Linked DNA regions of Anolis sagrei. The protein of the gene in region 1 interacts with the protein of each later gene in a pairwise test. Links are inferred from orthologs where the notes say so. Each region holds a gene or a part of one and is shown in the gene's direction. Other genes may lie near its edges.

Region 1 (6,917 bases):
CTTTGCTTATTTGTGGCAAAGATTATACTTCTCAAACCTCGTGCTAGAAACAAGTTAGAAATCATGAATAAATCAGGTTATTTTTTTTTTGTAACCTCAAAAATATCGGGGGGAGGGGGAATTGAACATCAAGGAAGGATTCAAACCCGGTTCAATGCTCGAACCCCAACATCACAGAGTGCTTTAATGATGATTACCAAATAACATACCTGTTTGAATTTGTACAAGTCATTGCACTTTTCATGGAAATCCAGGCTCAAAAGCTCCTTTTGCAGCCCTTCCAAAAAGCCTTCGGTTTGGATGAAGTTTGTGATGACGCAGTGAGGGAAAGGGGCCGGGTCCAGCACAACAGCCTCTGGAGGAAAAACAGAAGAGGAACATTTCCTTAATCAGGTATTCTGGATTCTTTGTATCAACTTTGATAATAATATTAATAATAATAAAAACTTTTATTTATTTATACCCTGCCCCATTTCTCAGAGGGGATTTGGCACGGCTTACAACTGCTTGATACTCATCAAGAAAATCTTTTTAAACTGATAAGAACAGAATATATATATATATATATATATATGTGTGTGTGTGTGTGTGTGTGTGTGTGTGTGTGTGTGTGTTGTTAGTGGCTCTGAGTCCCCTTTGGGGTGAGAAGGGTGGCATATAATTTTAAGCTTGTAAATCGCCTAGAGCATCTTGGATGGAGGGTGATTAATGAGAGATTAAATGATGATGATGATATTTATTTATTTATCGAGTCATCAGCAACCAGTCAATTATATTACATTTCTAACAGAACAAAGCAGACAGACAAAATACAAAAATACAAAATTTGTGAGTTTGGTAGTTGATTAAATGTCCTTTGACCAGTATCTGGCCACTTGGAGTGCTTCTGGTGTTGCCGCAAGAAGGTCCTCCATGGTGCATGTGGCAGGGCTCAGGTTGCATTGCAGCAGGTGGTCACTGGGTTGCTCCTCTCCACACTCGCATGTCGTGGATTCCACTTTGTGGCCCCATTTCTTGACGTTGGCTCTGCATCTCATGGTGCCAGAGCCCAGTCTGTTCAGCACCTTCCAAGTCGCCCAGTCCTCTGTGTGCCCAGGGGGGAGTCTCTCATTTGGTATCAGCCATTGGTTGAGGTTCTGGGTTTGAGCCTGCCACTTTTGGACTCTCGCTTGCTGAGGCGTTCCAGCGAGTGTCTCTGTAGATCTTAGAAAACTCTTTCTTGACTTAAGTCATTGATGTGCTGGCTGATACCCAAACAGGGGATGACCTGGAGATGTCTCTGCCTTGGTCCTTTCACTATTGGCTGCTACTTCCTGGCGGATGTCAGGTGGTGCAATACCGGCTAAGCAGTGTAATTTCTCCAGTGGTGTAGGGCGCAGACACCCCGTGATAATGCGGCATGTCTCATTAAGAGCCACATCCACTGTTTTAGCGTGGTGAGATGTGTTCCACACTGGGCATGCATACTCAGCAGCAGAGTAGCATAGCGCAAGGGCAGATGTCTTCACTGTGTCTGGTTGTGATCCCCAGGTTGTGCCAGTCAGCTTTCGTATGATGTTGTTTCTAGCACCCACTTTTTGCTTGATGTTCAGGCAGTGCTTCTTGTAGGTCAGAGCACGGTCCAAAGTGACTCCCAGGTATGTTGGGTGTGTTGCAATGCTCCAGTGGGATTCCTTCTCAGGCGATCCTCAGAGCTCGGGATGCTTGTCTGTTCTTGAGGTGAAAGTCTGTGTTTTAGATGGATTAGGGATCAGCTGGTTTTCCCTGAAATAGGCAGTAAGAGCACCTAGAGCTTCAGAGAGCTTCTGTTCTACCATCTCAAAGCTCCTTGCTTGAGCAGTAATGGCACGATCATCAGCATAGATGAAACTCTCTGTCCCTTCTGGCAGTGGCTGGTCATTTGTGTAAATGTTGAACATGGATGGGGCAAGCACGCTCCCCTGAGGCAGGCCATTCTTCTGTTTCCGCCATCTGCTTCTCTGGCCCTGGAACTCAACAAAAAAGCTCCTGTTTTGTAGCAGGTTTCCTATGACGCGGGTGAGGTGGTCGTCCTTTGTAATATTATACATTTTTCTCAGGAGGAGGCGGTGGTTCACAGTATCATAGGCAGAAGCAACCAGAGATGACGATGAATGACGGACAACGAATTCACTATGACGACTGACCATTGTTATTATGGGATTGCATTTTGCTGTTACGTTTTAATTGGATTATGTTATATGATGTTTTTAATGATTGTTTTGTGATTTTATTGTTGGAAACCGGCCCGAGTCCCCCAACAGAGGGGAGAAGAAGACCGGTATACAAAATTGCTAAATAAATAAATAAATAAAATACATTCTATGACTTAGAAAATATTTAAACGAGCAAAAATATATTTAAAAACCGACAACAATTTCGACTGCGGGCCCAGTTTGCCTGGCGCCAGGCCTCACCCTCCACTCTGCGGCCCAAGGCGGCCTTACCGTCGCGCAGCGCCTCTTTCCGGGCCCAGGCCGCGCCCGCCTTCTCCTTCAGGTCCTTCTCCCTCAGCGCCGCGGAGAACTCGGCCCGTTCTTCCCGCTTGAGACGCTTCTTGGCCGCCTCTCCCGCCACAGTTGCCTTGCGCTGCCGCACGCTCATGCTTTCCCCTCTGTTTGGGCCTACTTCCGGTTTGCCTCAGCGCGAAGGCGGGGCCTAAAACCGCTTGACCAATCAGCGTGCTAGGATTTGGAACATACCAAATGAGCCCGGGGGAGGTGGATTAAAAGAGATTCAAATTGGACTGCTATTCTAATCCAGTGAGGGTATACTATATAGTTTTAAAATATGGTAAAATCAATTGGAAGTCTTAATATATATATATATAAATATATATTCCTAAAATTACGTTTATATTATAATAGATAATGAATGGGCTAACCCTAACAGGTAATAGGATTGAAGGAGAGATGCCGGAGCTATAGCAACCAATGGGAATTAAGTACCGATTCCAGACAGCCAATAGGAATGGAGTACAGCCCGCCTCTCGCATTTTCATTGGCTTCGCCGCGGTAACAGGCAATAGGAATGAGAGGTTGCCAAAAGGAGAGATGCCGGCGGTATAGCAACCAATGGGAATTAAGTACCGATTCCAGACAGCCTATAGGAATGGAGTACAGCCCGCCTCGCGCGTTTTCATTGGCTGCGCCGCGGTAACAGGCAATAGGAATGAGAGGTTGCCAAAAGGAGAGATACCGGCGCTATAGCAACCAATGGGAATTAAGTACCGATTCCTGACAGCCAATAGGAATAGATTACAGCCCGCCTCATGCGTTTTCATTGGCTCCGCCGCGGTAACAGGCAATAGGAATGAAAAGTTGCCAAAAGGAGAGATGGCGGCGCTATAGCAACCAATGAGAATTAAGTACTGATTCCTGACAGCCAATAGGAATAGAGTACAGCCCGCCTCGCGCGTTTTCATTGGCTGTGCCGCGGGAGGCAGTACCGATTCTTGACTGCCAATAGGAGTAGCGTACAGCCCGCCTCACGTGTTTTCATTGGCTGCGCCGCGGTAACAGGCAATAGGAATGAAAGGTTGCTAAAAGGAGAGATGCCGGCGCTATAGCAACCAATGGGAACTAAGTATCGATTCCTGACGGCCAATAGGAATGGAGTACAGCCCGCCTTGCGCGTTTTCATTGGCTGTGCCGCGGGAGACTGTATCAATCCTTGACAGCCAATAGGAGTAGAGCTCAGCCCGCCTCGCGCGTTCCGATTGGCTGCGCGTCCATGAGAGGGTAAAGGTTGGTGCTTATCGACTCAAAGGAGTCCGTAGTATTGATTCCTGACAGCCAATAGGAAGAGAGCTCAGCCCGCCGCACGCGCTCTGATTGGCTGCGTGGCGCGCGCGAGTGTAAAGGAAAGCGGGAATGGCCTCTTCGCCGGAAGTGCGGCCTAGTCTTCCGGCGCGGCCTTTGGCGGGGTGGCTAAGGCTTGGTGGGGGATGCCGGTGTCTTCCTGAGCCTCCGCCGCGTGGGCCTCCATTATGTCCGTCGTGCCGCCCAACCGCTCCCAGACCGGCTGGCCCCGAGGGGTGAACCAGTTCGGGAACAAGTACATCCAGCAGAGCAAGCCCCTCACCCTCGAGAGGACCATCAACCTGTGAGTCGGGCCTTCAATCCGACGGGGTGGGTGGGGAAGAGGGCCTAGGCTGGGACAGCTCATTGCATAATGCTACTGCTGGAAACACACACACACACACATATATGTATATGCACACACACACGTTGATATATGTCTATCTATACACACATACACAAATGCACATATTAACCCACACTCACAAATATATCTACATAAGGTTGTTGTAGGTTTTTTCGGGCTATATGGCCATGTTCTAGAGGCATTTTCTCCTGACGTTTCGCCCCCATCTATGGCAAGCATCCTCAGAGGTAGTGAGGTCTGTTGGAAATAGGAAAATGGGTTTATATATCTGTGGAATGACCAGGGTGGGACAAAGGACTCTTGTCTGCTGGAGCGAGGTGTGAATGTTTCAACTGACCACCTTGATTAGCATTCAATGGCCTAGAAGCGCCTGGGGGGAATCTTTTGTTTAGAGTGATTTCATGTGCCTGTTTGTTTCCCCTCTGCCTGAACATCAAGCAAAAAGTGGGCACTAGAAACAACATCATACGAAAGCTGACTGGCACAACCTGGGGATCACAACCAGACACAGTGAAGACATCTGCCCTTGCGCTATGATGCCCAGTGTGGAACACATCTCACCACGCTAAAACAGTAGATGTGGCTCTTAATGAGACATGCCGCATTATCACGGGGTGTCTGTGCCCTACACCACTGGAGAAATTACACTGCTTAGCCGGTATTGCACCACCTGACGTCTGCCGGGAAGTAGCAGCCAATAGTGAAAGGACCAAGGCGGAGACATCTCCAGCTCATCCCCTGTTTGGTTATCAGCCAGCACGCCAATGACTTAAATCTAGACATAGTTTTCTAAGATCTACAGAGACACTCGCTGGAACACCTCAGCAAGCGAGAGCCCAAAAGTGGCAGGCCCAAACCCAGCACCTCAACCAATGGCTGATACCCAATGAAAGACTCCCCCCTGGGCACACAGAAGACTGGGCAACTTGGAAGGCACTGAACAGACTGCGCTCTGGCACCACGAGATGCAGAGCCAACCTTCAGAAATGGGGCTACAAAGTGGAATCCTTGGCATGCGAGTGTGGAGAAAAGCAAACCACTGACCACCTGCTGCAATGCAACCTGAGCCCTGCCACATGCACAATGGAGGACCTTCTTGCAGCAACACTGGAAGCACTCCAAGTGGCCAGATACTGGTCAAAGGACATTTAACCAACTACCAAACTCACAAGATGTGTATTTTTCTGTCTGTTTGCTTTGTTCTGTTAGAAATGTAATATATAATGGACTGGTTGCTCTGACACGACAAATAAAAACCCCTGACAGATGGCCATCCAGCCTCTGCTTAAAAGCTTCCAAAAAAGGAGCCTCCACCACACTCCGGGGCAGAGAGTTCCACTGCTGAATGGCTCTCACAGTCAGGAAGTTCCTCCTCATGTTCAGATAGAATCTCCTCTCTTGTAGTTTGAAGCCATTGCTCCATTGCGTCCTAGTCTCCAGGGAAGCAGAAAACAAGCTTGCTCCCTCCTCCCTGTGGCTTCCTCTCACATATTTATACATGGCTATCATGTCTCTTCTCAGCCTTCTCTTCTTCAGGCTAAACATGCCCAGCTCTTTAAGCCGCTCCTCATAGGGCTTGTTCTCATAGGGCTTGTATATGCCTAGCTGTCTATTTATATGAGTCCCCTTCGGGGTGAGAAGGGTTGCTACCCCTCCATCTTTAATATTTAATGCTAATATTGTACTATGCTGATAATATAATATATTGTATGTATATATATCTTGTAAGCTGCTCTGAGTCCTCTTCGGGGAGAGAAGGGCGGCATAGAAATGTCGTAAATAAATAAATATACAATCATACATATATGCATATATTAAAATCCTCACCCACAAATATATATACATATATAGAGACATATATACATATGCATGAATCTGTATACGCATATACAAAACATATACAAACATATATATCTGCATACACATATACATATGAATATGCACATATATACACACACACACATATAGACATATGTGTACTTTTGCATATATATACAAAAACACAAATATGCCCACATACATATATGCGCATACACACATATAGAGACATAGAGATTTATGGAGACATGCATGCACCTGAGTTGGAAGAGACCTCATGGGCGGCATAGAAATGTCGTAAATAAATAAATATACAATTATACATATATGCATATATTAAAATCCCCACCCACAAATATACCTACATATATAGAGACATATATATATACACACACACACACACACACACATTCCATGTGCTGGGAATTATAGTTCGCCTACAATCAAAGGAGCCCCCGGTGGCGCAGTGGGTTAAAGCACTGAGGTGCTGAGCTTGTTGACCAAAAAGGTCGCAGGTTCAATTCCAGGGAGCGGCGTGAGCTTCCGCTATCAGCCCTAGATTCTGCCAACCTAGCAGTTTGAAAACATGCAAATGTGAGTAGATCAATAGGTACCGCTCCAGCGGGAAGGTAACGGCGCTCCATGCGGTCATGCTGGCCACATGACCTTTCAGGTGTCTATGGACAACGCTGGCTCTTCAGCTTAGAAATGGAGAGGAGCACCACACCCCAGAGTCAGACATGACTGGACTTAATGTCAGGGGATTACCTTTACCTTTACTTATACATACATATATATCTGCATACACATATGCATATACATGTGTCTATACACACACATATAGACATATATGCACCTGTATACATTTGCATATATATCCAAAAACACACATATACCCTCATACATATATACTC
Region 2 (7,734 bases), on another chromosome or scaffold:
ATTAATTTTGGGTGATACATGAGGCAATAAGAGTAAATAAAAGCAAACTGTGTAGATATTAAACCCTTATTAAAAATGTCTCTTCAGATGGCAGAAAACCATCTTTTACATTTATATTTTGTCTTGAATGACAAAAGACAATATTCTTCAAGGTGTAGAATATTTGGTACTGTTCCATTACCTGGGTAGAGGCCACACGGGAGCTCTAGACAGAGAAGGATAGTCCATATTACAGGGGGAAGTGGGTTGAAGGAGTTAAACCATTTGTTTTCCTGTTATACCCCCCAGTCATGTTGATGTCCTCGAAACAACTATTGTTTATCATATGGGAAAAGGGGGGGGGGGTATAACCAGTGAAAATGGGAGAAATTGTTTTCCTTCTTCAACTCCCCCCCCCCCAATAAAATTGACTATCCTTAGTCTGTCTAGGCTCCCTTTTGAAGTCTGCCCAGATAATGAAACAGTCCCAAATATTCATATACAGACTGAGTATCTCTTATTCAAAAAGCTTGGGATCAGAAGTATGGTATTTTGAATTTATTCAGATTTTGAAATATCTATATTTGTGTGTGTGTGTAGGTGTGTGTGTAGTGATACATTGTGGAGACTGGACTAAAGTCTAAACATGTAACCATTTCATATACACCTTATACAATTCACTGAGGGCAATATTGTACGTTTTAAATGCTTCTGTTCACGAAACAAAGTCTGTGTACACTGAACCATCAGAAAGCAAAGGTGCTTTCTATCTCAGAAATCTATGTGGACAATTTTAGATTTTGGAGTATTTTGGATTTCAGAATTCCAGATAAGGGATGCTCAACCAGTACAATCAGTGCAGTACTATTTACTTGTGCCAATGTTTGCCAAGACACAACAGATAAAGTCAAATGAGACTATGCTGGGCATTTACTTCTTCATATATCAGTTGCTGCTGCATGCTCTTCTTTAGCAACACTTGTCAGCATTTGATCCTTAGGAACATTAGAATCACATACTAATCTTTTTCTCCGCAGAGCTGCTTAAAATGGTGCTGAATGGCTGTACCTCTCAAGCAGGACTCCTCAGTCCTTTGCTTCCCAGTGCAGTTGATATTCCTTTTCTATCTGTCTTTGCGTAAACAAAGTCTGCAATGAGTCCCTTCGCCCTCCTCAGCCAATCTAGACTGAAAAGTAATCTTATTTATATTACAATGTGGGGACATCAGTGAAAGATCACGCATTGAACCAGAAGGGGGCACCATTGAAATGGTACAGAACCAAAATCTATGAGACTGCAGACACAAACAATTTTTTCCCTTCTGGACAATAAAAAATTTGATTTTCAGATATTTCTAGTTTCTGTTTTGTCACTGCATTCCTTGTCACATTCCTTGTACTCAAATGCTGAGAAACTGAATGAAAACCAGAGAGCTCCTATATTTTTGGACAGCAGGGGAAAAAAGTCAGGCTCCATCCACTTGTTAATTTTCATGCCTATATGGTTCAGTGCTTTAGAACAAATCAATAAAGCCAAGAAGTGTTTTGCCTCCTGAAAATGAAAAGGTATGTACTTTCTATGCCATACATGTTGATTCCTTGAACGCCTTATATTTATTTAAAGCCTGATAACTGCACCAAGAAGAGAGTTATAATAATAAATAATAATAAAACTTAATTTATATTCCTACATCCCCACAACCACAATATATCAACATCCCCACAATCACAATTAATTACTGGAATGTGTGGTTTCCAGGTTGTATGGAAAGGATACTTGAAGATGCCAGCCACAGATGCAGATTGAATGTCAGAAGAAAATGCTGCTAGAATACAACCATACAGTCTGGAAAACACACAACACCTCAGTGATTTTGGCCGTGAAAGCCTTCCACAATTAATTAGATTGTCTGTGCCATGTACTGTAGGGCTGAGAGACATTACATGGAAACTTCTGTAGTATGCTTCTTACTGATATCATCTATATATGTATTATTAACATGAGGTAGTAATAGACAATGAGATCTGTCTCTGAGAACAAACTACATGAGCAGGGTGTTTGGTGACAGGCTGGCTTGAAGGTCTCTCATTCATAACAACAATAAGAGTCCAAGACCTAGCGTAGTGTAGTGGTTTAGGCACTGGATTATTACTCTGGAGACACTCTCCCAGCCTCAGAGAAAGGCAAAGCCCCTCCAAACATGAAAACATTCTGACAGAGCCTTAGACTTGCTGTTAGTCAGAAACTACTTGAAGACACAACATTAATACAAGCCTGTATGGGAGGATTAGTCAGTTGTTTATCTTTTCCATTCTTTCTCCTTCCCCAAATATATATTTAGTATATATAGGTAGAACATATTATTCAGATCTAGACAGGTGTTACCACTAAAATGTCTATACAAATATAATTTAAGTTAGAAGGGCAAATGAGACACAGTTGTGACACACACATATTCCATCCATGATGCAGGCTCTCTCTGCTCAAAATGCAGTAGGTTTCATCAGCAATAATATAAAAATATTTAGCTGGAAGAAAGTCTGTTCTATCCACATCAATGGGATCAATTACACAGTCCAATCCAAAAACAATATTCTTGGTGTCTTGGTTATTAGGCCTGTTCCTGGGGTTATTTGGGGCGCCGATTCAGAAAATGGCATTGGGTAGGCCACATCAGATCTAATTATTACAGATATGGTTATTACATTTGTCTGTAGGTGAGCAGATGACAACTGGTAGATGGCATATGTTCTGTATCAAAAACTAGAGCTGATAAAGAGAATCTGGTGCCGTTTTTGTAATCAGCAAAACGAATATACTCAGAAACAGGTGTAAGATTCGAGGCACCAAAATGTGTGTTGGCCAGTGTTATTTAAGTTAGGTTCCTCATCTACCTAGGTGCCAAGTAGACATTAACATTTCAAAAGTCCCTACCAGAGATGGAATTTTTATACCAGGATGTTTATCTCCAGATTACTAGATTAGGAGTTTGAATTTCAATTTCACTTCCAAATTTCTGAATTCTTGTGTTTTGTTCCAAGAGTTCAAACAAACCTTCTCAGCGTCCTATTTCTTTCAAGAGCAGCAATACATGTCCAGAATGGGAATAGCAACCATGCATCCCTCCTCAGGAGGAAATGAATTCCATGTAGGTTCACCTATAATTAAGCATTACTGCAGTCCAGGGTCTACCCCATCATATTTCAAGGCCCAAATACACAGTAGAATGAATGCAGTTTGACACCACTTTAATGTACGTGGCTCAATGCTATGGAGTTCTGGTGTCTGAAGTTTGGTGAGGTCCTTCTCAGCAGAGGCTCAAGATCTTGTAAAGCTACAACTTCCAAGATGCTACAGAACTGAACAGTCAAAGTGGTGGGTTGCTGTGAGTTTTCTGGGCTGTATGGCCATGTTCCAGAAGCATTCTCTCCTGATGTTTTGCCTGCATCTACAGCAGGCATCCTTAGAAGTTGTGAAGTTTGTTGGAAACTAGGAAAATTGGGTTTAGATTCCCCGTAGTAACCTACGGATATGAGAACTGGACCATAAGGAAGAGTGAGGAAAATAGATGCTTTTGAACTATGGTATTGGAGGAAATTTTTGAGAGTGCCTTGGATGGCAAGATCAAACCAGTCCATACTTCAAGAAATAAAGCCTGACTGCTCATTGGAGGGAAGGATATTAGAGGCAAAGATGAAGTACTTTTGCCACATCATGAGAAGCCAGGAAAGCTTGGAGGAGACAATGAAGCTGGGAAGGAAAATGGAAGAGGGGCCGACCAAGGGCAAGGTGAATGGATGGTATCCTTGAACTGACTGGCTTGACGCTGAAGGGGCTGGAGGTGGTGACGGCCGACATGGAGCTTTGGCGTGCGCTGGTCCATGAGGTCACGAAGAGTCAGAAGCGACTAAAAGAATGAACAACAAATATCTATGGAATTACAAGGATGGAAGAAAGCTCTAAAATTAAAACAGTAAATAAAGAACAACATTCAAATAAGGGGGAATTCTAGACAAGAAACAATCAGGGCCAACTAACACCTCCCAACAAAGGATCCCCCAGGCAAGAAGCTGCCAAGCCTTGAAGCTGCAAGGCCATTAAATGCGAATCAATGTGGCCAACTGCAACATTCACACTTGCCTCAAACAGACAGAAGTTCTTTCTCCCACCCTGGACCTTCCACTGATATATAAACCCAATTTTCCTAGTTACCAACAGACCTCACAACCTCTGAGGATGCCTGCCATAAATGTGAGAGAAACGTCAGGAGAGAATGCTTCTGGAACATGGCCACACAGCCCAGAAAACACTCAGCACTTCTGGCCATGAAAGCCTTCGGACAATACATAGTCAAAGTGGCGTCAAATTGCACACTTTCCACAGTGAAGGTGCCTCCTTACTGGCACTTGTAAGGCCCTCCAATGTGTTCCTTCACAGGACACTGACTGGCCTCCTGACTACTCTAAACTCAGGGCTCCTGAGCAGCAAGGCCTCGAACAAGTTTTCCTGCCTCTGGCGAATACATTTCCCGGCATCCCTAGCGGCCTCCCCGCCGCGAGCCACCGCCCCGCGCGCTTGGTGGCCGGGACGCCCTTCTATAGGCAAAAAGGAGGCCGACTGCAGTCACTTCCTGGAGAAGTGGGAGGGGAGGCTCCTCCCCTTGGAGCGCGGCCCTTCCCCCCGCCCTCTGCCTTTCCCGTCCAGCCAATCAGAGGACGCGTTTCTTCCCCGTGACCAACCGGCGGAGAGAGCTCGCTCGCGCCCAGGGCGGAAGGAGGTGCCACTTGTCCGAACGCCGGCCAGGAGGAAGGAACTCTCTGCTGCTGTTGCCGCTGCCGCCGCCATGGTGAGTGCCTGGCAGGGGCGACAAGCTTTGGGGGGCTTTGGAGCGCCTGTGTTGGGGGAGCCTGAGGGGAGAGCGGTGGGGGCTTCAGGGTGCGGCTTCTGCCCCAGGAATCCCGGGTCACCTTCAGGGATGAGGCAGGGGCGGCGTGGGCTTTGCGAGGGGGAAGGCCCCTTAAGTGACCTCTCTGGTTGTGTTTCCTTTGCAGTGTGACTTCTCCGAAGACCAGACCGCAGGTAGGCCCCGCTATTCCTTCTTTTTGGAGGGGATGAGAGGGAGGAGGAAGTAGTCGGGGTGCCACCAGGCAGAGCCCCTCTCCTCAGGCGCATCTCTCTGCACTGGGGAACTGAGGCAGCTTGACACCGCTTCAGATGCCCTGGCTCAATGCTGTGGGATGCTGGCAGCTGTACTTTGGCACTCTTCCACAGAGGAGGCTCAAAACCTTGCAAAACTACAGCTCTCAAGATCCCATTGCCTTGAGCCAGGGCAGTTGAAGTCATGCCTAACTGCATTAATTATTCAGTGGAGTCTTCTCACGTTTGATCCCCTTCCAGGCCTGTTTGGGTTCGTGGCTCTTCCCCCACCTTTCCTTTCCATTTCTTCTAGCTTTTCTCTCCTTCCCACCTTTCCTCACCCTTGATCACAGACTCTTCATGGTGAGTTGTGTGTGTGTTTGAGGAAACTGGACTTCATATGACTAATTCAGCATTTGTCCCTGTTGCTAATAATGTGACTAAACTTCTGGTGCATACCATTTGCATTGAACTAACAGTAACAAGAGAGAAGCCTCCCACAAGAATGGTAACACATCTGGGCAACGTCCTTGCAGATGGCCAATTCTTTCACATCAGAAACCACTTGCAGTTTCTCAAGTAGCTCCTGGCACATAAAAAAAATCCACTGGGGTTTGGTTCCAGGATACCAGAATTCATGGATGCTCAAGGCCTATTAGACACAAAAGCGTAATAAATATCCCATGGTAAACTCAAAGGTTGCTTTTTTAGAATAGTTCCAAGCCGTGGATGCAGGATCCATGGGTACAGAGAGCCAGCTGCATGTAGTGTTAAGTGTGGCTTCTCTCATCTTGGGCCCCTTCTACACTGTCATATAATCCACATTATCTGCTTTGAACTGGATTATATGAGTCTACACTACCATATAATCCATATTATCATAGCGGAAAATCCACATTATCTGCTTTGAACTAGATTATATGAGTCTACACTACCATATAATCCAGTTCAAAGCAGGTAACATGGATTTTATATGGCAGTGTAGAAAGGGGCCTTGTTGAGCTGCCTGTTCCCATGTTAAGGAGCCTTCTACTTTTCTCTAAAAGTTGATCCTGGCTCTTCTGCGTAGGCTTTTAAAGGATTAGCCTGCAAACTGTCCTCCTCCCACTTGGGTATGGCGAGTGTGTTATGGTATTTCCTGGTTCAAACGGTTGGGAGCAGACCCACCCAGATCCCTCTGATTATTCACTTTCGCACTCCATTGCTAGATGCCTGTCTGCTTTTCAGTCTGCTCAGTGTGCATATTTGAAACTGGAATGCCATTGGCTCAGGCAGGCAGCTCTCTGAAGCAATGGGGCCCTTTGGGTGTTGTGCAAAAAGACAGGATATGATTGAACACGGCGGGTGGAATGGTGCTTTCCCTCTCCAGAATTCAGCTGAATTTGGAAGGAGGGTTTTCTCACCCCCTGCCTTGTGTTGGGAGAGTTTGGAAGACTTGGGGGATGGCCTTGTACCTCCCAACTTTTTGTTTAACTGCTTGCTTCTCTGCTTGAAAGGAAGAGGTTTCAAATGAGCCAAAATGGGTGCCTAGTATATGTTGTCTTGGTTTCCTTATATGGGCAAGAAACTCATTTTGGAGCAGGCAGGGTTGGGAGCTGCCTTACTGGTACATTCCTGCCTGGATCCCAAGTGACGGAGTAAATGAGGAGAGAGATTCCTGGGCAAAGAAGGAAGTTTCGAAGTGTAGAGGTCTTAAGAGCAGCAGTCAAGCTCTGTTTCTAGTTGAATTTTTCTCTGCCCCTTGTGGTATGCCCCGAGATTCAAATTGCTGTAATAGGTGTGCATTTAGAAAGGGAATTGGGGTATCATGTCCTGTTTCTAAGGCATGATTCCCTCCTTAGAGACAGTTTTCAAAGGAACAGCAAAAAGAGAAAGGAGCTCGTGGCACCTCAAAAGACTGGATCATTTTATTATATCATGAGCTTTTTGTTTTTCTTGCCTACTTTCTCAGATGCTTGGCCAGAAGTATAAATGCAGCACGCATCCAACTCTATGTACTTAGTGCTGGTATTAAAAGAAGGAAGGGATCTTGTGGCATCTTTAAAACTAATTTATTTTGATATAAGATGAATCCCCCAAAAGGTATGCTGAAATCAAATCGTTAAAGATATCACAAGAATCTTCCTTCTCTTTTTCATATATATAGCGCTGAATTTTTTGTATCAGAGAAAGTGGGCAATATACTACCAGAGTACATGCTGTAATAGATGTGTTGGTGTTTAAGGTTGCATGGGCCTCTTCGTTGTCTTCTTGGTATGTGACATGCTGCATGATTTGTGCATGAACATTTTAAGGATTTTGCTGACATATTCTTAAATTTAAAAGATTTCCTGCCAGTTTTGCATGCTTTCTTAATTACTTATATGATTAAATCTGCACAGTCCACATACTGCAAACTGTAATAAATGTGCCACTTGGGGTATACTGGATGAAGACAGAACAATACCTTAAAGGGAGCATCACAAGTTAGCAAAAATGATTTTTCCCCTTGCTCTTGAAGAAGCAATGACCTTTGTGTCTAGCAGTATTCCATTACCCCAAAGCTAGGGAATATGTGGCCATCCAGATGTTTGTTGTGTTACGATTCCTTCTGCAATAATTCGGCATAGCCTGTGGTGA
Region 3 (7,041 bases), on another chromosome or scaffold:
TCAGAGCGGCTTACTATATATATATATATACACACACACTGTAGTATTATTATTATGATTATATATATACAACCCCCCTGTTGCGCCAACTCCACTGGCTACCGATCTGCTACCGGGCTGAATTCAAAGTGCTGGCGTTGGCCTTTAAAGCCCTAAACGGTTCCGGCCCAAGCTACCTATCTGACTGCATCTCTGCCTATGAACCCACCAGGAGTTTGAGATCTTCCGGGGAGACCCTGCTCTCGATCCCGCCTGCTTCTCAAGCTCGGCTGGCGGGGACGAGAGATAGGGCCTTTTCTGTGGTGGCCCCCCGGCTTTGGAACACCCTCCCCATAGAGGTACGATCAGCCCCTTCGCTGATGGTGTTTCGGAAAAGATTGAAGACATGGATGTTTAAACAAGCATTCGGTTAATCCGTTGTAACGAATTGTGATGACTAAGGATTGGTTATACACGGACGATGAATTTTGGATTACGATTCCAGTTATGAGATGCATAGGATTGTTATTGGTGGCCCAATAATTTGTACTGTATATGTGTTTTATGCTTTTAACTGAATATTGTTTTTTAAATGTTGTAAACCGCAATGAGTCGCCGATTTAGGCTGAGATATTAGCGGTATACAAGTGCATTAATAAATAAATAAATAATAAATATATATATAGTCATAGAAAGGAAGGAGGGAGGGAGGCCGCTCTTGCCTCAGGACTTCCACCAGGCCTCGCCCTCAGAGATGCGGCCTTCTCTTCCCTCAAACAACCCTCCTCAGGGTTTCCCGCCTCGGAGCCACCCTCAAGTGGGCCTGCTTTTCGCTCACACGAAACAAATAGAAAACAAGACTCATTATTATTATTGGGAAGATGTGAACTCAACAATGGACAGGGTATAGGGATTTTAGCTTTGAAGATCCCCACCGCTATCACCAGTTGCGAGGAGGTGCTTGTGTGTTGCTGAGGTCCTAATAATGGAAGTATTTTACCTCAGGCACTTTTTAATCTCACCGCTGCCACCAACTGTACAGATGTGGGTGTTATGGAGGGAATTTACCTCAGGCCTCAATGGTGTAGAAGAGAATATTATGGAGGAGGCCAATTATTATTTGTAAATTAAGGTAACGGCCACCAACAGTTTGAGGTACCACCGATGAGATCTGGCTCTACAGACGCAGATTAGTTGAGATGAGACGGTTTTCAACAAAGATAACAACTTTATTGTGTACAAAGCTTATAGTTGCAGGCTGTTAAATAACTTATGGAACTTTGAACATCATGTGGTTTATAATACAGTCCACTCTTCCAGATAAACGGTTCCAGCCCAAGATACTTATATGACCGCATCTTGGCCTACGAGCCCACGGGGACTTTGAGATCGTCCGGGGAGGCCCTGCTCTCGATCCCGCCTGCCTCACAGGCACACCTGGCGGGGACAAGAGACAGGGCCTTCTTGGTGGTGGCTCCTCGGCTGTGGAACACCCTTCCCATGGACATCAGACTGGCTCCTTCCCTGATGATATTCCACAGGAAACTAAAGACCTGCCTGTTCAAGAAGGCGTTCGAACAAGAAGTGCAATAATTGGTAATGACGACAGGAATGGAACAACGGAAAATGATACTGGATTGTGGTTTAACGATGAGACGACGCAAATGGCTTTTTGTATTATTGATATTGTTGATGTTGTTGATGACGATGTTTTTTGTTATTGCTAGATTGATTTTAGATTGTGTCTTGTAATTTGCACCCTGTCCTCTCTATGTTGTACACCGCTGTGAGTCGCCCCCGGGCTGAGAACAGCGGTATATAAGCACAGTAAATAAATAAATAAATAAATAAATAACACAGCTTGTGGCTAACTTTCACTGAAGTGAAGCTCTCTAGTGAACAATGTTTCACTACTACAAATAGCCTTTCAATTTGATCTTCCCTCGATCAAATCTCTGATCTCTAGTCCTTCCTTAACTAGGGATCTTAACTAGGCTTCCGTTTGTCTTCTTTGACTAAAGAATCTGGCCAGGTTTCTTCAGCCCTCCTAGACTGAAAAAACACCAGCCGCTCACACACAAGCCTCTCTCTCAGGCCTTTCCAAGCCTCACTCTCTGGCCTTTTTTAAAAACGCACATAACGTTTCCTGCTTGGCTCCGCTCACTTCTCCCTCTCATGAGCTAGCCAGCCTCGTCTCCTTGGCAACGCTCACTGTGGATTCAAACCAGATGACTCCAGTTTTAGCTACTGTTACAAACAAAAATACATACTCTAACAGTTAAACACAAACATAATAACAATGGCTTCTGCACAATTATTATTATTAGAGCCGTTCAGCAGTGGAATTCTCTGCCCCGGAGTGTGGTGGAGGCTCCTTCTTTGGAAGCTTTTAAACAGAGGCTGGATGGCCATCTGTCAGGGGTGATTTGAATGCAATATTCCTGCTTCTTGGCAGAATGGGGTTGAACTGGATGGCCCATGAGGTCTCTGCCAACTCTTTGATTCTATTGTCTTATCGAAGGCTTTCATGGCCAGATTCACTGGGTTGCTGTAAGTTTTTTGGGCTGTATGGCCATGTTACAGAAGCATTTTCTCCTGACGTTTCGCCAGCATCTAGGGCAGGCATCCTCAGAGTTTGCGAGATTTATTGGAAACTAGGCAAGTGGGGTTTACATAGAATCAAAGAGTTGGAAGAGACCTCCTGGTCTTTAACCCACTGCGCCACCGTATATATAGTATAATATACTACGTATAGTATAATACTAATATTGTGCTATGCTAATATACTGTATAAACTTATATTAATAGTAAGACAATATTATACTATATAATAATATATATAACACTAATATTGTATTGTATTTTGTTGTTCATTCGTTCATTCGTCTCCGACTCTTCGTGACCTCATGGATCAGCCCACGCCAGAGCTCCCTGTCGGCCGTTACCACCCCCAGCTCCCTCAAGGTCAGTCCAGTCACTTCAAGGATGCCATCCATCCATCTTGCCCTTGGTCGGCCCCTCTTCCTTTTGCCTTCCACTTTCCCCAGCATCATTGTCTTCTCTAGGCTTTGCTGTCTCCTCATGATGTGGCCAAAGGACTTCAACTTTGTCTCTGGTATCCTTCCCTCCAATGAGCAGTCGGGCTTTATTTCCTGGAGGATGGACTGGTTGGATCTTCTCGCAGTCCAAGGCACTCTCAGCACTTTCCTCCAACACCACAGCTCAAAAGCATCTATGTTCCTTCGCTCAGCCTTCCCTAAGGTCCAGCTCTCACATCCGTAGGTGACTACATATCTCTGGTTGTATTGTATTGTATAGACATATATTATAAATAATATTGTAATGTATACAATCTTCACAATATAATTATACAATATAATAGAAATATATTAATTATAATAATACATAAGAATATTAATTATAATTGGTATAATATTAATATACCACTAATTAATATATTAGTTATTATACCACTGATAATATACAATAATATATAATGATAATACTGTTTTATTTTGTATATTGGTACGTTTTAAGTTGCCTTATAAGGTTTTTAATTGAAAGTGTGGTGGAGGCTCCTTCTTTGGAGGCTTTTAAGCAGAGGCTGGATGGCCATCTGTCAGGGGTGATTTGAATGCAATATTCCTGCTTCTTGGCCGAATGGGGTGGACTGTATGGCCCATGAGGTCTCTTCCAACTCTTTGATTCTATGATTCTGATTCTATGAACACGCTCTATAACTCTAAGGCGCTTTAAGGCCTGAATCTCCCGGTGGCCATCTTTAAAATTTCTATCTCTATAAGCGCCAACAAGTCCTTCGCTGATTGGACGCTCTTGCTTTCACACCACGCGGTTTTGTCTCACCGGGGAGCATGCCTCGCTCTGATTGGCTTCGCGAACTCTCGCGCAAACCCGGCCGACCAACCCATGAGGCCCACCCTCGCTCTCTGACGCGATTGGCCCTCGAGAAACACAAAGGAGTCGCTTATTGGCCAGCGCGCTGTCCCGAGGCGGCTGCTGATTGGACGAGACGGGCTTGATAAGCGGCGCGGCGGGCGCGAGGCCTTCCTTTCCTTGTTCTGCCTCAGGCCGGAGCGCACAAGGTGCTGCGTCCTTCCGACGAAGCTAAGGCCGAGTTTCCAGCCGGCGACCAGCACCGCGCCCTCTTCTTCCCCTCTCCGGACCCGCCATGGCCTCCGTCTCCGAGCTCGCCTGCATCTACTCCGCCCTCATCCTCCACGACGACGAGGTTGCCATCACGGTCAGTGCCTGAAGTAGGGAAGGAGGCCGGGGAGGAGCGAGGGCGCATGCGCGGAGGCAATGCTGGGAAGCATGCAAAGGCAAACGGGAGGAGCGAGGGCGCATGCGTGGAGGCAATGCTGGGAAGCAAGCATGGGCAAACTTGGGAAGAGCGAGGGCGCATGCGCGGAGCTAATACATGGGCCAACTTGGGCCCTCCCCTCCGGGGGTTTTGGACTCCAACTCCCACAATTCCTAACAGCCTACCGGCCCATGCCTGCATCCAAATAAACCTGCTTTATAGTATCTGACTATGTCATATTCTTTGGTTTTAGGAGGACAAGATCAATGCTCTCATCAAAGCAGCAGGCGTCAATGTGGAACCTTTCTGGCCTGGCCTGTTTGCAAAGGTAAATTCAATCCCAACATTTATCACTGGGTTTTCGTTGGATGGCCAGTATCAGCGTTGGGATCTTTTGTAAGTGCCTCGTAATGGGATACTGATGGGTTGCCAATATCAAGGGATTCAATGAATAGCTTCTAGCTCATGAGAGCAGATATCAGGTAGCTGCTGAAAATTTCAGATACTTGCAGGTTAATATTTATTAACTTGCATCCCACTTTTTTTGCCATGTCAGGAGCGACTTGAGAAACGGCAAGTCGCTTCTGGTGTGAGAGAATTGGCCATCTGCAAGGACGTTGCCCAGGGGACGATGATTTGATGTTTTATCATCCTTGTGGGAGGCTTCTCTCATGTCCCCTGGAGCTGATAGAGGGAGCTCAACTGCCTCTCCCTGGATTCGAACCTGTGACCTGTCGGTCTTCAGTCCTGCTGGCACAGGGGTTTAACCCACTGCATCTCTACATTAGGAGACTCAAAAGTGGCTCACAATTAAAAACATGACAACTTAAAATTATACTCTGTGTATGTATTGCACCGACTGTAGTGCAGCTGGCTGGGAGTCAGCTGCATTAAGATCACTACTGACCAAAAGGTCATGAGTTCGAAGCCAGCCGGGGTCGGAGTGCGCTTCCGACTGTTGTGTAGCTTGCTGTCGGCTTCTGCAGCCCGAAAGAATTGCATCTGTCAAGTAGGAAATTTAGGCACCACTTATGCGGGGAGGCTAATTTAACTAATTTACGACGCCATAAAAATCTTCAGCGACTATGCAAAAAGAATGGAGAACTTCCTGACTGTGAGAGCCATTCGGCAGTGGAACTCTCTGCCCCGGAGTGTGGTGGAGGCTCCTTCTTTGGAAGCTTTTAAGCAGAGGCTGGATGGCCATCTGTCAGGGGTGATTTGAATGCAATATTCCTGCTTCTTGGCAGTGGGTTGGACTGGATGGCCCATGAGGTGTCTTCCAACTCTTTGATTCGATGATTCTATGAGGAAGTACTCCATTGTCACTAATGGATGGTGAAGCGACAATTCCCCTGGTGGCCAGAATACCCTCATGAAAGCTGGAATGTTAAATAGCTTCTGTGTGCCTGTCTATATATGTTGTGTGCTTATGGCATTTAATGTTTGCCACGTATATGTACATTGTAATCTGCCCTGAGTCCCCTGTGGGGTGAGAAGAGTGAAATATAAATACTATAAATAAATAAATGTATTGGCATAGCACATCATTAATATATTGTATTATTAGGATTAGATTGTATTACTTTATAATACTATTATAAAATGTATATAATTTTAGGATAGTATTCTATAACATTTTTATTTATTTATTTACTATATTTTTACCCTGCTCTTCTCACCCTGAAGGGGAATCAGATTAGCTTACAAATTATAGCAAAATTCAATGTCTCAATATTAATACAAATAATAAATATAACATTTCAAATTATAAAATAGTTAAAACATGGATGGAATACAACAGATTAAAACAGTTTCCCAATCACCCTTCCCCCACAGGCCAAACATAAGCCTGCTAGTAAAAGTGGTCTTATGCGTTATTACCACGAGGCGAGGAGATATCAAGTGCTAGTCTAGAAGGCTATAGGATTAGGGTACAGGTGCCACAGTTTTAAATCACAAGATAATGTATATGTTGTTTTCAAGTTATAATACTATTATTTTAAGGTAAGGTCAGGTTGTCCCCTGACATTAAGTCCGGTCATGTCTGACTCTTGGGTGTGGTGCTCATCTCCATTTCTAAGCCAAAGAGCTGGTGTTGTCCATAGACACCTCCAAGGTCATGTGGCCAGCATGACTGCATGGAGTGCCATTATATATAATACTATTATATGTATATATATTATTTTATTAGCATAGCACAATATTAGTATTCTTTTGTATTACATTAGATACTATTATTCATATTAAATGTGTATATATATTATCAGCATAGCACAATATTAGTATTATATATTATATTGTACTATATAATAATTTTCCATCTTGTCTTTACTGATAATATAATATAGTATATTGTATATACATATGATATTATAATGTAATACAATATAATACTAGTAATAATTCAATATTATAATTATATATTTACATTACATGTAATATTACTAATAATATTACAATATAATGGTATAATGCAATATAGTAATATATACTGATATTGTACTATGCTAATAATATAATATATTGTATGAAAATATATATTGTAAGCCGCTCTGAGTCCCCTTCGGGGTGAGAAGGGCAGCATATAAATGCCGTAAATAAATAATAAAATAAATAAATTTATAGGTCGTTTTCCAGTAAAGCTAGGGGTTTACCAGTGAACACAGGTGTTTTTCTAAAGCATGCAAACCAAGTATTCATGGCAAGGGCTGAATTTTCGGTCTCTTCTTCCTATAGTCCAC
Region 4 (7,200 bases), on another chromosome or scaffold:
TGTTTATTTTTCTAAATCAAAACTATTTCCAAAAATTCTGCACAAACCCAGACTCACCCTCCCAGATTTATGAAAAAGAATTGCAAAAGTTTACCCAGATTAAATGGATAAGAGTGTTTTTCTCTTACACAAGTAAAATGTACAGAAAAACAGTTATTTTGGATTTACACTGGCATGCATCTAGAAATTGATCCAAACATTACAAACCCATATTAAATGTATCTATATTCTACTTTTATTAGTAACTTAGTTAAAAAGGTCTTGTCTGTGGCAAAACTCCCTGTAATTTGAGGAGAGCTTTAATTTTATTCTGCCACAACACTAGCTTTAATAAAAGTCTACTAGTTTTAGTAAACTGCACTACTTTTAACAAAGTCTTTTCAACAGCAACTCATCTACTCTCTCTATATGCAATACCCCTCCCAATCCAGAAAGAGAGAGTCAAAAATAGTATTGCTGTCTCAAGTCACTAGAGTGTATTAATTTATTAAGACAACTCATTTTAAACCTTACCTTTGCAGAACATGGCTTGACATTACCAAATACAGTATCAGCCCAAATGAAAAAGAGAACATTTAGCAGGATCAATGAGGATGCATTGGGGTAGATCATCTCTGAGTTGAAGAAAATGAAAGTTTTCAAAAGATTTCTAACTGCCTCGAAAAACACTGGCCACTCACTGATGAAATCTTGAGTTAAGAATTCAGGAATGTGTACAACACAAACATTGGCCAGAAAGCCAGCCCTTTTATGTTTCAAGTTCAGAACACTTACATAAATGGTTTTAAGTAAACCAAATATGGTTTGATCTCCAAAGGAATTGTACATCATTCAACAATTTTATCCACAGCCCAGCTATTAATGCTGTACAATTGTTCCTTAATGGGAAATAACTATTGTATTCTTTTTAACAGGTGCAAATATAGCATACTTAAATAAACATACCAGTTGTTACTAGATCCATTCTGACCATTATCTCTAAATGTTTAAAAGATGTATCTGGAGACCCTCCTTGATCCATTGAAGCTTGCCATCTAATCTATCCACTACTTGTCCTTATCTCCTCTCCTCTTCTTCACATAGTGGGAAGTAGGAGAAAAGAAAGAAGTATATTGAGTATGGAAATGTTACAACGGACTTTCCTGTTCTTGGATCTTTGAATGTCTTCATTCCTTCTACCCTCTTTTGATGTAAAGTGAAGGCTTCCACATAAAAAGGATTCCACCTCATGGCCTCCATGACAACTTTGGGTCTCTCCCAGGTGGTGTCTTCCCCTACCCTTGCTGCAGGACACACTTTGGATCTTGTTTTCTGTGCAGGATGGGATGATGGTCATTATGGTGTGGAGGAGCTTATTGTTGCACTCCAGGTCAGGAAAAAGCCCTCTGACTTTAAAACACACCACGCGAAGAGTGAAGAAACAAATCTTCTTTTATTGAAGCTTAGTAAATAGCCAGAAGAAATAAATGCTTGTAAGAAAATAGGAAGGTTCCAAAAAGTAATGTCCATAAAAGGCAGTAACACAAAGCAATGTCCACACAAGATATAAAAGCAATCCAAGACAGTGTTTATCCAGACAGGAATCAACAGGATGCAATGACAATCAAAAAGGCTTAAAAAACTCCACAGGAACAGGATTTCCATTGCACATGAACTTGATTTCCAAACGATGATTGATCTAACAAGTTTTCCCTTGAAGCAAACCTTGTATCCCAAAACCCAGAAATTGGTTTCGCTTTCCCCCACATTTGCCCTTTATCAGACGAAGCCTTTCAGAGTGACATAAATACTGAGTTTGCAGTCAATTCTGACTGATCTCCAGCCGCCTATTTTCAACTCCCTATCTGGCTACTCATTAAAATGCCCAGGTGTCAGATTGTTTTCCAAACCCAAATCTTGAGAGCTCACAGGGACAGGGAGTGAACCATCATTGCTAGGCCCAGCAGGAATATTCTCATGAGAAACTGCCCTTGGCACTGGGGACTCTCTGTACATGCCTTAGTTACATCCTGTCTGGATTACTGTAATGCACTCTATGTGAGGCTGTCTCTGAAGAGTGCTCAGAAACTTCAGCTGGTCCAAACAGCTGCAGCCAGATTGCTCACTGAGGCTGGCTACAGGGAGTAGACAACCCCACTGTGGCTGCAGCTCCACTGGTTGCCAGCCTGTTTCTGGGCACAATTCAATGTGCTAGTTATGACCTTTAAAGCCCTAGATGGTTCAGGTCCTGGCTGACTGCATATCCTTGTACGAACCTGCCCGGGTCCTTCTCTTGGTTCCACCTCCATCTCAAGCTTGGTTGGTGGGAATGAGAGAGAGGGCCTTGCTTTCAAATGCTAGTCCTCTATACATTGTGGACCTCAACTCCCAGAAGCCTCAGTCACCTTGGCGAATGGTTAGGAATCCTGAGAAATGAAGTCTTGAGAACCCTGGTGGACCACCATTATTTTACAACTGGAGTTGTCAAGGTTTGTGGACTTCAACTCCCAGAAACCTGTCACCTTGGTGAATGTTTAAGAATTCTGGGAAATGAAGTCTTGAAAAACTCTAGAGGATCACCATTGCTTTCAAATGCTAGTCCTCTATATATTTTGGACTTCAATTCCCAGAAGCCTCAGTCACCTTGGTGAATGTTTAGGAATTCTGGGAAATGAAGTCTTAAAACCCTGGATGATCACCATGGCTTTAAAACTCTAGCTGTCAAGGTTTTTTGGACTTCAACTTCCAGAAGCCTCAGTTACCTGGGCGAATGATCAGGAATTCTGGCAAGTGAAGTCCCGAAAAGCCCTGGAGGACCAAAGATTGCCTATGAAGTGCTAGTACTGTATATATTTTGGACTCAGAAGCCTAAGTCACATAGGCGAATGTTTAGGAATTCAGGGAAATGAAGTCTTGAAAACCCTGGAAGGACCACCATTGCATTACAATTGTAAATTGGAGTTATCAAGGTCTGTGGACTTCAACTCCCAGAAGCCTCAGTCACTTAGGCGAATGTTTAGGATTCTGGGAAATAAAGTCTTGAAAAACCCTAGAATCACCACTGCTTTGAAATGCTAGTACTATATGGCCAATTACTGTGATTTTATATTGTTTGGTGTGTTCATTTATATTGTTTTTGTATTTATTTTTATTTTCATTATATGTTGCATAATGTTTGTATTTTATGTTGTATATTTGCTGTACTGTTGGGCTTGGCCTCATCTAAGCTGCCCTGAGTCCCCTTGGGGAGATGGTGGAGGGGTATAGATAAAGTTTTATTATTATTATTATTATTATTATTATTAATAATAATAATATATTTTGAACTTTAACTCCCAGAAGTCTCCAATATTTTCAGTTCCCATAAATCCTGGCAGTTGTCTAAATTGGCTGGTGCTTTTGGAAGTTGAACTGAAAACTCTGGAAGACAAAACATAGGGAACTATTGTATTGTTGAAGGCTTTCATGGCCGGAATCACTGGGTTGTTGTAGGTTTTTTCGAGCTATATGGCCATGTTCTAGAGGCATTCTCTCCTGATGTTTCGCCTGCATCTATGGCAAGCATCCTCAGAGGTAGTGAGGTCTGTTGGAACTAGGAAAAAGGGTTTATATATCTGTGGAATGATTTCCCCAGGCACTGCCAGGCCATCAAATGCTAATCAAGGTGGTCAGTTGAAACATTCACACCTAGCTCCAGCAGACAAGAGTCCTTTGTCCCACCCTGGTCATTCCACAGATATATAAACTCTTTTTCCTACTTCCAACAGACCTCACAACCTCTGAGGATGTTTGCCATAGATGCAGGCGAAACGTCAGGAGAGAATGCCTCTAGAACATGGCCATACAGCCTGAAAAAACCTACAACAACCCAATAGGGAACTATTCCTTTTGGACTTCAACTCCCAGAAGCCTCAGTCCCTTTGGCGAATGTTTAGGAATTCTGGGAAATGAAGTCTTTTAAAAAAAACCTGGATGAGCACCATGGCTTTAAAACTGTAGCTGTCAAGGTTTTCTTTGGACTTCAACCCCCAGAAGCCTCAGTCACCTGGGTGAATGGTCAGGAATTCTGGGAAATGAAGTCCAAAGGAAACACTTTGGCTGGCCCCAGTCGCAAGCTAACCCAGTGCCTTAGGATTGTTTTGAAAGGCTGCCTTCCGGGCCCCGCCCCCTCCTTGTCGCCCCGCCCCTTTTCCCGGCGGCCATTTTGGATTAGCTCCATCCAATCGCCGGTCGCGCGCGCCGTCTCCCTTGGTTACCGTTGCGAAGGAAGTAGCGTCGCGGGTTGCTACGATGGCGCCTGGTTCTGAGGTTCCCTTTCGGGGAAGACAGAGCGAGGCCTTCGAGAGGGCGATGGCGGCGGCGGCGGGCTGAGCGGGGTGGATGGATGGAGCCCGGCGGCGGCGGCGGCAGAAGCGGCAGCAACCCCTCCAGCGGCTCCGAGCGGGCGGCGGAGGCCTGGCGCCGAGGCCGCGAAGGGGAAGGCCTCAGGAAGGGCCTCTCGGAGAGCGCCCTGCCGCAGGGTCTGGGGCGCCGGGCCTGGGCCGCTTTCTCCCCCTCCTCGCCGTATCCTCTCCTCTCCGCCGGCCTTTTGTGGGGCCGAAACAGCCTGACAGGAAGGTCCCAAGATAATCAAGACCAGCGTTTCTCAACCTGAGGGTCGGGACCCCGGGGGGGGGGGGAGGGAGGTCGAGGGGGGGGGGGTGTCAGAGGGGTCGCCAAACACCATCAGGAATTTTCTGTTGGTCATGGTGGTTCTGTGTGAGAAGTTTGGACCAATTCTATTGATGGGGTTCCGATTGCTCTTTGGTTGTAGATGAACTATAAATCCCAGCAACTACAACTCCCAAAAGTCATGGTCTATTTTCCCCCAACCTCCAGCAGTGTTCACATTTGGGCATATTGAGTATCTGTGCCAAGTTTGGTCCAGATCCGTCATTGTTTGAGTCCACAGTGCTCTTTGGATGTAGGTGAACTACAACTCCAAAACTAAAGGTCAGTGCCCACCAAACCCTTCCAGTATTTTCTGTTGGTCAGTGCTCACCAAACCCTTTTCTGTTGGTCATGGGAGTTCTGTGTGCCACGTTTGGTTCAATTCCATCGTTGGTGGAGTTCAGAATGCTCTTTGATTGTAAGTTAACTATAAATCCCAGCAACTACAACTCCCAAATGACAAACTCAATACCCCCTAACCCCAGTAGTATTCATATTTGAGTATTTGTGCCAAATTTGGTCCAGTGAATGAAAACACATCTTGCATATCAGATATTTACATTACAATTAATAATATTAGCAAAATTGCAGTTATAATAATAATATAATAATAATAAAACTTTATTTGTACCCCGCTACCATCTCCCCAAGGGACTCGGTGCGGCTTACATGAGGCCAAGCCCACAGTACATCAATAAAACGAAGGCAGTAACAAAATAAGCAATACAAAACAGTAAAATAAATCTCATAAACAAAAATAAATAATAACAATAACATGTTGTTGTTCATTCGTTCAGTTGTCTCCGACTCTTCGTGACCTCATGGACCAGCCCACGCCAGAGCTCCCTGTCGGCCGTCACCACCCCCAGCTCCTTCAAGGTCAGTCCAGTCACTTCAAGGATGCCATCCATCCATTTTGCCCTTGGTCGGCCCCTCTTCCTTTTACCTTCCACTTTCCCCAGCATAATTGTCTTCTCTAGGCTTTGCTGTCTCCTCATGATGTGGCCAAAGTACTTCAACTTTGTCTCTAGTATCCTTCCCTCCAATGAGCAGTTGGGCTTTATTTCCTGGAGGATGGACTGGTTGGATCTTCTTGCAGTACAAGGCACTCTCAGAACTTTCCTCCAACACCACAGTTCAAAAGCATCTATCTTCCTTCGCTCAGCCTTCCCTAAGGTCCAGCTCTCACATCTGTAGGCTACTACAGGGAATATCATGGCTTTGACTAGGCGGATCTTTGTTGCCAGTGTGATGTCTCTACTCTTTAAAATTTTATCGAGACTGGACATTGCTCTCCTCCCAAGAAGTAAGCGTCTTCTGATTTCCTGGCCACTGTCTGCATCTGCAGTAATCTTTGCACCTAGAAATACAAAGTCTGTCACAGCCTCCACATTTTCTCCCTCTATTTTTGTAGGTGAACTACAACTCCAAAACTCAAGGTCAGTGCCCACAAAACCCTTCCAGTATTTTCTGTTGGTCATGGGAGTTCTGTGTGCCACATTTGGTTCAATTCAATCGTTGGTGGAGTTCAGAATGCTCTTTGATTGTAAGTTAACTATAAATCCCAGCAACTACAACTCCCAAATGACAAAATAACCCACCCACCCCAACCTCAATAGTATTCATATTTGGGTATTTGTGCCAAATTTGGTCCAGTGAATGAAAACACATCTTGCATATCAGATATTTATATTACAATTAATAATATTAGCAAAATTACAGTTATGAAGTAGCAACTAAAATAATAATAGTAATATAATAACAACAACAACAACAACAACAACAACACTTTATTTGTACCCCGCTACCATCTCCCCAAGGGACTCGGTGCAGCTTACATGAGGCCAAGCCCAAACGCAACAATACAAGCAATAATAACAACAATACAATCAATTAAAAAACACATAGCCAGTAAGATACACAACATTATCAATAAAACAACACATAATTAAAAACAGTGGGGAGGCCAAATGTAGAGTTAAAATTGGAAATAATGTTATGGTTGGGAGTCACCACAACATAAGGAACTGTATTAAAGAGTTGCGGCATTGGGAAGGTTGAGAAACACTGATCAAGACAGATAATCCACATTATCTGCTTTGCACTGGGGTATATGAGTCTCCATTGCCATACAATCCTGCTCAAAGCAGATAACCTGGATTTTATATGGCAGTGTAGATGAGGCCCTTTCCACATAGCTGTATAAAATCTCCATTGAATTGGATTATATGGCAGTTTATATCTTGTGTTATCAAAAGCTTCCATGGCCAGAATCATTGGGTTGCTGTGAGTTTTACAGGCTGTGTGGCCCTGTTCCAGAAGTATTCTCTCCAGACTTTTCGCCCACATCTATGGCAGAGAACCACTGGCGTAGACTGAGGGAAGTCTTGGGGTTTGTTGCTTTGTAATGTTTGACAGGGTCCTATGGGGTAGATCAGCCATACGGAATGTGTAATTATTTTCATTCATTACTTTTGGATGACCACATTTGTTGTTCTTCAACTTTAGGTT

The links.
Region 2: the proteins of NUDT21 (region 1) and MYL6 interact in binary tests that used the Homo sapiens proteins (3 or more experiments, as listed by UniProt). The two-hybrid records come from large-scale screens. The link is inferred for Anolis sagrei from reciprocal best matches to the Homo sapiens genes NUDT21 and MYL6.
Region 3: the proteins of NUDT21 (region 1) and RPLP1 interact in a two-hybrid assay, tested with the Homo sapiens proteins (2 studies listed by BioGRID and IntAct). The link is inferred for Anolis sagrei from reciprocal best matches to the Homo sapiens genes NUDT21 and RPLP1.
Region 4: the proteins of NUDT21 (region 1) and CEP126 interact in a two-hybrid assay, tested with the Homo sapiens proteins (2 studies listed by BioGRID and IntAct). The link is inferred for Anolis sagrei from reciprocal best matches to the Homo sapiens genes NUDT21 and CEP126.

Annotation. Positions count from the first base shown.
Region 1 is NC_090028.1:6,630,671-6,637,587, forward strand, and holds the start of NUDT21 (cleavage and polyadenylation specificity factor subunit 5), read left to right. Parts: upstream 1-3,900; 5' UTR 3,901-4,006; coding exon 4,007-4,122; intron 4,123-6,917. Other genes in the region: prolyl 3-hydroxylase OGFOD1, read right to left, coding at 210-355, 2,466-2,622. UniProt on the Homo sapiens protein: Component of the cleavage factor Im (CFIm) complex that functions as an activator of the pre-mRNA 3'-end cleavage and polyadenylation processing required for the maturation of pre-mRNA into functional mRNAs.
Region 2 is NC_090022.1:138,221,383-138,229,116, forward strand, and holds the start of MYL6 (myosin light polypeptide 6), read left to right. Parts: upstream 1-4,722; 5' UTR 4,723-4,822; coding exon 4,823-4,825; intron 4,826-5,030; coding exon 5,031-5,058; intron 5,059-7,734. UniProt on the Homo sapiens protein: Regulatory light chain of myosin. Does not bind calcium.
Region 3 is NC_090024.1:10,970,829-10,977,869, reverse strand, and holds the start of RPLP1 (large ribosomal subunit protein P1), read left to right. Parts: upstream 1-4,027; 5' UTR 4,028-4,168; coding exon 4,169-4,240; intron 4,241-4,553; coding exon 4,554-4,628; intron 4,629-7,041. UniProt on the Homo sapiens protein: Plays an important role in the elongation step of protein synthesis.
Region 4 is NC_090023.1:22,936,141-22,943,340, forward strand, and holds the start of CEP126 (centrosomal protein of 126 kDa), read left to right. Parts: upstream 1-4,193; 5' UTR 4,194-4,363; coding exon 4,364-4,542; intron 4,543-7,200. Other genes in the region: ANGPTL5 (angiopoietin-related protein 5), read right to left, coding at 514-612. UniProt on the Homo sapiens protein: Participates in cytokinesis. Necessary for microtubules and mitotic spindle organization. Involved in primary cilium formation.